Linked DNA regions of Coturnix japonica. The protein of the gene in region 2 purifies or fractionates together with the protein of the main gene of each other region. This does not show direct contact. Links are inferred from orthologs where the notes say so. Each region holds a gene or a part of one and is shown on either strand. Other genes may lie near its edges.

The links.
Region 1: the proteins of CDH2 (region 2) and JUP purify together in Homo sapiens (co-immunoprecipitation; 4 studies listed by BioGRID and IntAct, with this or other methods). This does not show direct contact. The link is inferred for Coturnix japonica from reciprocal best matches to the Homo sapiens genes CDH2 and JUP.
Region 3: the proteins of CDH2 (region 2) and CTNNA1 purify together in Homo sapiens (affinity purification with mass spectrometry; 4 studies listed by BioGRID and IntAct, with this or other methods). This does not show direct contact. The link is inferred for Coturnix japonica from reciprocal best matches to the Homo sapiens genes CDH2 and CTNNA1.

The regions. Positions count from the first base shown.
Region 1 is NC_029542.1:4,293,823-4,296,090, forward strand, and holds the end of JUP (junction plakoglobin), read right to left. Parts: intron 2,226-2,268; coding exon 2,075-2,225; intron 1,984-2,074; coding exon 1,862-1,983; intron 1,693-1,861; coding exon 1,653-1,692; intron 1,545-1,652; coding exon 1,399-1,544; 3' UTR 1,381-1,398; intron 1,305-1,380; 3' UTR 501-1,304; downstream 1-500. UniProt on the Homo sapiens protein: Common junctional plaque protein. The membrane-associated plaques are architectural elements in an important strategic position to influence the arrangement and function of both the cytoskeleton and the cells within the tissue.
Region 2 is NC_029517.1:94,736,742-94,740,801, reverse strand, and holds the start of CDH2 (cadherin-2), read left to right. Parts: upstream 1-1,260; 5' UTR 1,261-1,378; intron 1,379-1,453; exon of another isoform or gene 1,454-1,673; 5' UTR 1,674-2,026; coding exon 2,027-2,101; intron 2,102-4,060. UniProt on the Homo sapiens protein: Calcium-dependent cell adhesion protein; preferentially mediates homotypic cell-cell adhesion by dimerization with a CDH2 chain from another cell. Cadherins may thus contribute to the sorting of heterogeneous cell types.
Region 3 is NC_029528.1:14,135,272-14,138,958, reverse strand, and holds the end of CTNNA1 (catenin alpha-1), read right to left. Parts: intron 2,378-3,687; coding exon 2,243-2,377; intron 1,505-2,242; coding exon 1,217-1,504; 3' UTR 501-1,216; downstream 1-500. UniProt on the Homo sapiens protein: Associates with the cytoplasmic domain of a variety of cadherins. The association of catenins to cadherins produces a complex which is linked to the actin filament network, and which seems to be of primary importance for cadherins cell-adhesion properties.

The DNA of each region.
Region 1 (2,268 bases), on a different chromosome or scaffold from region 2:
GCAGGGGGGACGCGGGGACACGGCCGAGCAGATGGGCACCGCCAAGTTCACGGATAACTTTGGGAAGTTTCCACCTCTCAGCACGTTGCCAGCCCGGCGCCCGGAGCTGCTTCCACGCCGCTCGCAGGGAGCAGCTGCCGGTGAATCTCCTCCCTCCATCTGTGCCGCTCGCACAACCCGGCTGCGGGAGTTTGGATGGGAATCGGTCGCCGCTTTTAACCCCGCCGCACGCAGCTCCATCCCGCCCCGCTCCATCCATCCATCACCGGAGCTCGGCTGCAGCGCGTGTTTATCCCTAGAGCTCATTAAGACGAGCTCCGAGCCGCAGCGGAGCTGAGATGCCAGTGATGCTCCTTAATGAACAAACATCTTAATTACCAGGAGCTGCTGCCTCCTGGCAGAGCAGACATGTCGCCATACCCACATCAGGGCGATGCCCACCCCACCCCAACGGGACCCACAATGTCCCCAGGCCAACAAAGAAGAGGCTGACGACGACCCGGGGCTGGGGGGGTTATTTTATTCTTTGCTTTGGTCTATACAAAAAACAACTTATAGAAATAATAAAATCTTCCCTTCTGGACCCACGCTGCAGTGACAGCCCGTCCACTTCCAGGCAGAGCGTGAAACCATCAGATCCAGAACCTCTTCAGAAAAGTCATCAGATAAGGAAAGAGGGAGGAAACACCACTCACCAAAAGGAGGGGAAAGGGTTAAAATGTGCCACAGAGATGGGTACAAGGACACGGTTCTACTGCTGGAGTCACTCCTCTATGGGTGCTGCGGGACTCAGTCGGCTCCACGCAGCAGATCCCAACCCCACCATCCCCAGGGCTCCAGGAGCGGCTCCGTTTGCTCCCAGCAAAGCCCAGGCTGCCCCTCGGACACCAAAGCTTGCAGAAAGCAAAGGGGCTCCTCCCAGCAGACCCCTCCCCAGAACAAACTGCAGGGACGTTAGAAAGCACAAACTTAAAGACGGCAAAAGCCGTTGGCACCATATTAAAAATAAGAAGGAAATATATATATTCATAGAAAAGACCATCCTGCCAATGAAAGGTTGATAAAGATGCGGGATTTGTGTGTTTTAAAGCTTCAGAAACTGTATTTGGATGCCGGGTGCAGCAGTAGGTGCTCGAAGCAGTCCCAGGAGGAAGGACCTGCACAGACCCACAGCGAAGAGAAAACTAAACGGGGAGATGAAACCTCTCGTGGGAATGGGGACGTTTGTCGTCAGGCACTTCTGTCTCCCGAGTCCTTCTCGCCATTGCTCAGCTCTGGGGCCGCCCTCTGCACGGAGGAAACTCCTGCACAGAGGAATGGGTGTCACCGTGGGCTCTGGGGAGCGGGATGTGGCCCCCCAGCCCCCCCAGCCCCCCCTACCTGTTGTTGTGCGGGCGGTCAGGCGAGCATATGGTCAGCAAAGGGCGCGCGGACGCCGTCACTGTAGGCGTCCATGGGGTAATCTCCATCCATGTCCATGTGCATGTCAATGGGGTCCAGAGGGATGTCACCCGAGTACATGGGGCGGTAGCCAGGGTCCATCTCTGCTGGGTGACAGGGGACACTCAGTGCCTGTGGGTGACAGCCGCCCTCCTGGCTCCCATTGCGCTGAGAGGGACCGAGAGGCCGCACAGACCCAGGGCTGCACTCACCGTCTGAGTAGGGCTCGTTGATGGGGATCATGCTCTGAGCCTGGGAAAGAAGGTGGCACACTTTGAGATTCAGGGAACATGCACGTGGCACTTGGTATCCCCATCCCATGACCCAGAGCCACCACCTCCCCTCTGCCCACCCACCGCTGCCGTGCAGGCTCAATGTGGGGGCACAATGTGGCCGCCCCTCCCCGTCCCCATGCACTCACCGCCTCCCACGCTGCGGGGTCGTGCTTGAACAGTGAGTTGGTGAGCTCCACAGACACACGCTTCCTGTAGTCGGGGTTCTTGTCCTCGGAGATGCGGAAGAGCACAGCGGCCGCATAGGTGGCTGTGGGGGGACAGGAGCTGAAACACTGCAGCAGGGCCCAGGGATCCACCTCGGCGAGCAGAGCCCAGCACAAGGCTGGGGCTGCACTCACCTGTGCCCTCATTCCTGGAGTGCAGCAGCTCCATGAGAGGAGCTGAGGCCCCTTCGGCATCAATGGCATCAGCAGCCTCCTTGTCCTGGGCCAGCTCGCACAGCACGCCGGCTGCCACGCGCTGGATGTTCTCCACTGGTGAGTAGAGGAGCTGCCGGGAGAGAACAGGGCGGTGTGAGACTGTGTCCCCAGTG
Region 2 (4,060 bases):
GAGTAAAGAAATGGTCAAACAGCATAGTTAATTAACGCTATTATTCATATGTCTACCTACCCGAAAATACAAAGAGGAATCTGTTACTGAGGGAAAGTCAGCGTTTCAAAAGCAAATCCGAGCAAAAGCTCAGGGTAAGCCACAAGAGTGTGTGCTCTATCAGGTGCAAACTCGGGGAACTCACCGCTGTATGAAAGCACAAACACCAGCAGCAGCAGCTTTCCTGCTCACTTTCCTTCCATCCCAAACCGCGTTTGAATCCAGAACCGCATTACCAGACTCCTCTTCCCTCCTTTATTGCTCATCACAACTCTTGGCTTCGATACAATTTCATGGGCTACAACTTTAAGAAAGCGCGGGGCTAAAGGTGGGGGGGGGGGGGGGGCTGATTTTCCTGTCGGGGCTGTCCCTCCTCACCCGAGCTCCGTTTGCTTTTTAATGCCTCCAGGTGGGCACGGTTCTCCCCGGCTCGGGGCTGCTGTAGAGCTGCGGTCCGGCAGGCGCTCGGTTCGGGTGCGCGGTACCGGTCCCCGGTGTTTGCTATTATGCAGCTCGTGGAACCAGCATCGTGCGAGTGTCCCCGGTAAAACGGAAAAGCAAATCTGCTGTTTTCTTTCTAAACAAAAGCAGGGGAGGGAAAGAAAAAAAATAAAAAGGCTCTGAGAGTGTTTTTTCTTGGAAGCTGAAGTGTAAAATAAGGTGCTTTAAAATAATGCACCATTTTGAATCAACACTTGGCGAGGTTGCGTTCCTAGGAATGCCTACAAATCCTCCCCTTATTATGTCCCAGGATGGGAGCTGCGATGCATGGACACAAAACAACTTTGCTCAGTGACCTGTGGGCGAGGGAAGCTCCTTGCCAGCTCCGCCACTGACCCAGCACTGATAGTCGCTGCTGTGACTGGTCGCTCAGCAGCGCTCCCCGTTTCCCGTTAAGCACGCTGATATTTTTTGGACGCGCGGACCGCAGCGCCGGCCAAAGCCTTTGAAAAACATCGGCTGGTAAATTCGGCAGGTAGTTTGGAATACGAAGGAGTAAGGAAGAAAGAGGAAAAAAGAGGGGAGGAGTAATAGAAATAATAAGCGACCTCCTCAGCAGCAGCACCGGAGCCAAACTTGGGACGCCAGCAGCGCCCCGCAACCCCAGGGAATGACACCCCTGGGTCCTCCCCCTCCGTCCCTCCCCCTTTCCCCCCCCAAACAATCTCAGCGAGGCAAGTTAGGAGCGTTTCTGTAATTATTTTTCTCTTTGTTCCCGTATTGCTGGCGCTGCGGGGTGCCCCAGCCCCGTGCCCGCTCCCTGGAGCGAGGCGGGGCAGCTCCATTGGTCGTAGGGAGCGGCAGCGCCCGGCGCGCACACACGCACAGAGGCTGCTCGGTATTGTTATCATCGTGCTTCGGCGGAGGGTTCTGCGTGCAGGGGGAGGGGTGAAGGGAGGGAGGGAAGAAAGAGGCAGAGAGAAAGTGGAGACGGAGCATGCAGCAGGGCTGGGGCCGGGGCAGCGGCGGGGCCGGCACGCCCGGGGCGAGGCGCTGAGCTGAACGGAGCCGGGGAGCGGAGCGGGGAGGAGAGGGGCGGGCACGAGCCGGGCGTGGGGACGGCGCCGAGGACTGCCGAGCCGCCGCCGCACCGGCCTGGCAGCAGCAGCAGCTACTTCTTTCTTATCTCGCAGCCTTTTGTTCGCCCATCCTCCTCCTCCTCCTCCTCATCCCTGCCCACCCTCTGCACCGCGGAGGGGGCTCGGCAGAGAGAAAAGCAGCCTGACCCGGAGCCGAGTTTCCCCCCCATCCTCCGCCTCTCTCCGTCTCTCTCTTCCCCCGCTGCATCGCTGCCCATGAGCTAGAGCGGCAGGCGGCAGCCAGCGCCGCGGCACCGGCTCGGGCAGGCGGGGACAGAGCGCAGCCCCGGGAGCCGCCGGCGCCCGATCCTCCCTCCGCTCCCGCCGCACCCCTCGCCCCTCTCCGGGGCTCCAGCCGCGCTCCAGGACCGCCGGGGGCCGCCCCGCCGCCGCCCCTCCTCGCCTCCATGTGCCGGATAGCGGGAACGCCGCCACGGATCCTGCCACCGCTGGCGCTGATGCTGCTGGCGGCCCTGCAGCAGGTAAGCACCGCCGGCGGCGGGCGGGGAGCGGGGCCGGGCTGCGGCTCTTTGTTCCCCTGCGGGCGGCGGTGCCCGGGGAGAAAGAAGCCGGCGGGAGGAGCGGCGGGGCGCGGGCGAGGCGGTGGTGCGCTGCCGGCCACCTGCTCGGGGCTGGGGGGGGAGAGAGCAGGTGCGGAGGGATGTGAGTGTGTGTATGGGGAGGGGCAGGGGGGTCCGGTCCTAGTTTTGTGGGCGGAAGAGGGGGTCTCTCGTATGGAGAGTGGGGGAGAAAGTAGCGGAACAGACACGGTGCGGTGTAAGGCACAGAGAGCCCCGCGTCCCTCCAGGGCAGGTGGGGCTTTGTAGCCCGGCCGGCCTCGCCGAGAGGGCACTGCGCTCCGCCGGCTCCGTGCCCGTTAATCCTTTCCCGGGAAGAATTTAATCACTCGCCGCCTCCGTGCGGGCGCCGCTCGCTCACCCACATTGCGTGTAACGGGAATTTCCAGCGGGACGAGACGGGGCTCCCGAAGTCTGTAATGTACGGCCGGAGCCCCTCCGCCCGGCCCGGGAGAGCTCGAGGTGCGGGGCAGCGCTCGGAGGGAAAGCGGGACCCGGGCCGGGGCAGGTGCCGGGCGGCAAGATGGATCCCGCAGGGATGGATCCCGCAGGGCTGCCCTGAGCGCCGGGGGGACGCGGTAGGAGCGGGTGGCGGCCGCTGTCCCCCGGCTTTGTGCCGGCTGAGCCCAGCGCGGGGGGCGGAGAGGGCGGTAAATCTGAGGGACAGATGGCGCAGATCATCGCCTCTTAATGGTATTTACTGTCGGGGCATTTCTGGCGGGTTAGGGGAGAGGCCGGAGGCCGGGCCGGCGGCGGGGACAGGGCCCCGGGGCGCTGCGGCGGCCTCCGCCTCCCGCACGGGCCGTAGCCGGCGGCCCCTGTCCATGGTGAGCGGCTGGACAGGAGCTCGCCTCGCAGCCGCTCCCCTCCCCGCTTGACCCCTCTGCGATCCTCGGGCGTCCCAGCCGCTCCCGGGGCTGCTGGCTGGCGGCAGGCAGCGAGGTGAGGCGGATTTCAGCTCCGGCCCTCAGAGGGCACAGGGCACGGGGCTGTCTGTCCGTCTATAGCGATGGAGGTGCGTCCTGTAGGGCTTGAGTGACTTCCATGATAGCAGCCACCCTGCTCAGAAACTTGTGATGTGCCACTTTAGCTTTGTTTTATGCTTGTTTTTGTCAGTGTGGAACACAGACTCCCCAAAACAGTACAGACTGATTTTCAGTGCTGTTTATCGTGCACGCTTTCAGTTCTGTGCAGACTTCCCTTCTCAGTGACTCTTCAAAGCCCACGTTCTGTGCTGAGCTTTTATTCCATCTTTTTCCTACCCGGGGCAGGTTGGAAATGAAGCGCGAGCTGTGAATTGGGGACAGGAGGGAGCCTCACTGCTTTCATGCATCACTCAGTGTCAGCGGCACGTTACGCTTGGGGAATCCAATTTCCCCCTTGTTTGGGTATCCATTAAATCAGGTTAGGACTGATTTTTAATAGTGTGTAACAAAATTGGAACTTGGGTATGAAATCAGATTTATAGACCTGGGTCTGTACAGCACGTTATTTATTTATTTTTTCCTTTCATGTGTACTGCAAAGAGTCCTCACGAACAGAATGCAGTGGGAACTTTTATTTCCTGCTTTGGTACCTGCTCCGTTTGCTTTGTACAAGGTTATCTGTTAAAGCTTCTTCTGCAGTGTTGAACCTTCCAGCTTTTTCCTGTCTCTTTGCAACACAAGAGCTCTCTGCCTTTATTGTCTGAAGTTATCGATCACTCATTTTTCATCAGTGATGTGGAAAAGCAGTCATGACGGAATGCTTGATCATAACTGGAAGCGTGTTTTAAGTCGGATCTGTGGGTTCTGTGTAATGTTCAAGAAAAAGGGCTTTAGATTTCTGGCAATGTATAATGCACATGGGATGCGAGAGAATGTA
Region 3 (3,687 bases), on a different chromosome or scaffold from region 2:
CTGTCACACAGGGATCCAGAGGAGTGGTTTGTGTTTGTGGCATTAAGGTGCAGCATTGAGGCCCTGGGTGTTTGTGGGGCCAGCACTGACACTGCAGGGCATTGTCACCCGTCCTTGGAGGCAGCAGCACTTGGGAGCAAAATGGGCAACATTAACTCCTAATCCTGACCTGCAGCTGGTAACCTGACAGCAAAGGGCTTGATACAGTAAACCGTGATTGAGGTAAATGGAATTATAAGCTAAGCACTGCCAAGGAGCTGCTCTCAAACTCAGTTACAGTCACAGCACTGCACCAACCCCTGGCCACGAACCACTCACAGCCTTCTGGGGAAGGAGGGATCTCGTTGGTGGGAGTAAAACACACCAACACCCAGAGTGTGTAAATAAACAGGGGTGAAGCGATGCCTGTAGGTACATCACCGCACAGCACTGCAGCCAGAGCTAACGAGAGCTGCTGGGAAATGCACACAGCGCCAACAGCACGAACAGCACAACGCAGGGTGGGAAAAGCAACTTTATTGTGTCCTGCAGCAACAACATCCGCCGTCTGCAGCCGGGCATTACCGCTCTGGTGTCACACAGAAGCCAGCAGTGACCCCAGCAGCCACGGGGGGCACAGGGATGGGAGGCAGCACAGGGAGCACTGCAGCCCCTCCCGGCCCTGCCCAGCCGTGTGCCATGCAGCTCCATGGCAGGAGCTGCTCGCTGTGTTCTCAGCTCCTGTTGGCACTCACAGCTCACTGGCTCTCGGCTCCCAGCAGGATCCACATACACACAATAATCTATTTGTAAAACCTTTTTTTTTTTTTTTTTGAGTGAAAAGCCTTAATTTTTCCCTCTGGATCACAAGGCAGAACGGCCGCCTCCAAGCAGGACGGTTCAGCTATCAGCGTTAACTGTTAGTGTTAGTGTAAAACCTCTTTGGTTATAGAATATTTCATTTAAAGCGAGATTATACAAAATAGTTTCCAGCTAGAAATACACCCCTGGAATCTAAAAGCAATCTAAAGGAACACACTCCCGCAGTCTGGAGCTATACTGATAGGTTTCGTGATTCGAGTATTTCCCCACATGATCTAAACAAAGTTATCAAAATTATATTAAGTAAATACATTTGGAGGAGTAGGAAACTCCTGAGAATCCTCAGGATGTTAAGAGCAGAGTTCTGGCAGTAGCAGTAGTGGCCTAAAGGAAAAACTGACCGACACGGGCACCTCTAAATGCTCTCCATCGCCTTGAACTCGCTGAGCGCCTGCACCGGGTTCACGTGCTTCTTCTGGGACGCCCGCTTGATTTTGGTCTGGGTCTCGTCCTGCTTCTCCCTTTTGACCAGGGGCTTCTTCTCCGGAGCCTTCATCTTCCAGGACACGGCGGGGAGGTTGAGCGAGGCCATGCCCTGCGACTTCTGGTACTTGGTGGACGCCACGTAGGACGCCTTCACCGTCTGCACCACCGCGTTCATCAGGTTCTTGGCCGCCTGGATGAGGGACATGGCGCTGTCCACCTGCAGGGAGGGAATGGGGTTACAGGAGGTGACAGACCCCAGCAGCCCCACAGCAGCACCCTGAGCTCTGCACTGCACCCACCCCACAACTGCTCTGATGGCTTTGCTCAAAGCCTGGACCCCATCCACACAGTGATGTTCCCCTGCTGACACTGCGCCCTGCCTGCACAATGCTCTGTGCTAATGGCAACCGAAGGGATCTGTGCTCCGCTGTTTGCTTTTGGGACTAAGCTTTAAAAGCAGCTTATTCTCTAATGAAATTAATAAAATCACAGCAATATCTTAATTGCTGATAATAAACATTTAAATCAGCCGGGAACATGAAGTTATATTACAAAGGGAGGAGTGCAGTGTTATCTTCACCGGGCCTGGAGCTGTTTGCAGGGTGGTTCCTACTGACAGGAGCTTTAAAATGAGACAGAATTCCCTTGCAGACACGGGGCCTTCCCCTGTAACCTGACAGAGCTGAACAGCACCCAGCAGCACTCAGCCCCATGGGCAGATTGCAGGGGAGCAGATAAAGCGGCAGATTAGATGGCAGATGCCTGCTCACATAACTAATTTATGGCAGGAGGGGATGTACGTTCTGAAGAAGCTGAATAATGGCAGTAAAACCCTGGAGTCCACATTACTGTGTAATGACACATCCACTCCTCTGACAGCACGATGCCTTCAGCCTCCCACAGAGGAGCACATCAAGCAGCAGAGCTGTGTGGCACCAAACGTCATCCTACGTACCCCAGACACGACGAGTTCCCCTCCAAGGTTCTGCACTTCAGCCTTCACTTTGCTGCAGATGTTGAGCTGGTGGCAGTACAGGGCGATGCGCTGCAGATAGGCCAGCAGGTCCTGCTTGCATGCCGAGTCGGGGCACTGCAGGGAGAGACACAGCAAGGGTTGGTGTGGGGATGGAGTCCATGGAAGTAACTTGTTCAGCTTTGCATTTTCCAGCACCCCACATGCTCACGTAGGGAACCCAAACACCCTCCAATGCCCCACTGTGATACCCTGTGACACACTGACACCCCGTGATACCCTGTGATTCTGTGGTCTGGGTGGCAGCAGTTGCCTTCGTGCCCCCCAGCCAAGCTAAGAACACACCGAGGCACCTGCAGCTCTCTTGGTTTCCATCAGCGAAGTGAAAACTGCATAACAAAGAGGTGAGGTCTGCTGGTTATTTTCTTAAGTGAATCAATACCAGCCAGCAGTGCAAGATGTTTTAGGGAGAGCTCACAAACACCGTGGGCCAAGGAGTTAATGAAACCCTGCCATTAGCATCTGGGAAATGCTCTCCATCTCCTGAGCAGCTCAGCTGGGGCTGAGTGCTGACACACACACACTGCAGTGTGGCTGGGGGTTGTGCACAGCTTGGGGTGCTGTACGGGTAGGAATTAGGAAGAGCCTGTGGTGGCAGGAAGCAACCAAACAGCAGTGGGAAGGTAAGAAATGGGATCAGAGATATTATTTAATAGCAGACATCAATATGACATGACTGGGAAACCCACAGCCTACACTGTGTGTGCTAATTCGATGAGCAGAGTGGAGAATTCAGTTCAAAAACCAATGATGTCTGCAAAGAGAAACTACCCAAGATAAAAGACAGCATCCAAGGCTGGATGTGGCTCTGGGCAGCCTGGGCTGGTGGTTGACAACCCTGCACGCAGCAGGGGGCTGAAAAGAGATGATCACTGTGGTCCTGTTCAACCCAGGCCATTCTAGGGTTCCATGGTTCCCACACTGATTAGGACATGAGGCAGCCCCGTGTGGTCCCAGCAGCACGTACAGCCATCAGCCTCCCATCACTGTGTGCAGCAGCACAACGGGGTGGGTTTTCCTGCTGTAAATATTTCAACATTAAAAAAAATAATAACAGAGAATTGCTGCAAATCATTTTCGTTTGTGTTGTACTCGGAACTCCTTCACGTTCTCCCATTCAAAACAAGCAGGCGGCTCCTCTGAGTGAAGGATGGAAGGAAAACCCCTGGGGAAATCTGCAGGCTGATGGCTCGATGCCTCTCAGCAGACATGAAATACCCGGGATAACAGCTGGGATGTTTGAAGGCGCTGCGTTGTGAAGCTGGGAGCCCCGACACGCTGACACCAGGGCTGTGATCCAGCACTGCCACGTGGGCTGTGGGACACCAGGACCCTCTGCTCGCTCACAGCCATGTGAGATACAGGAA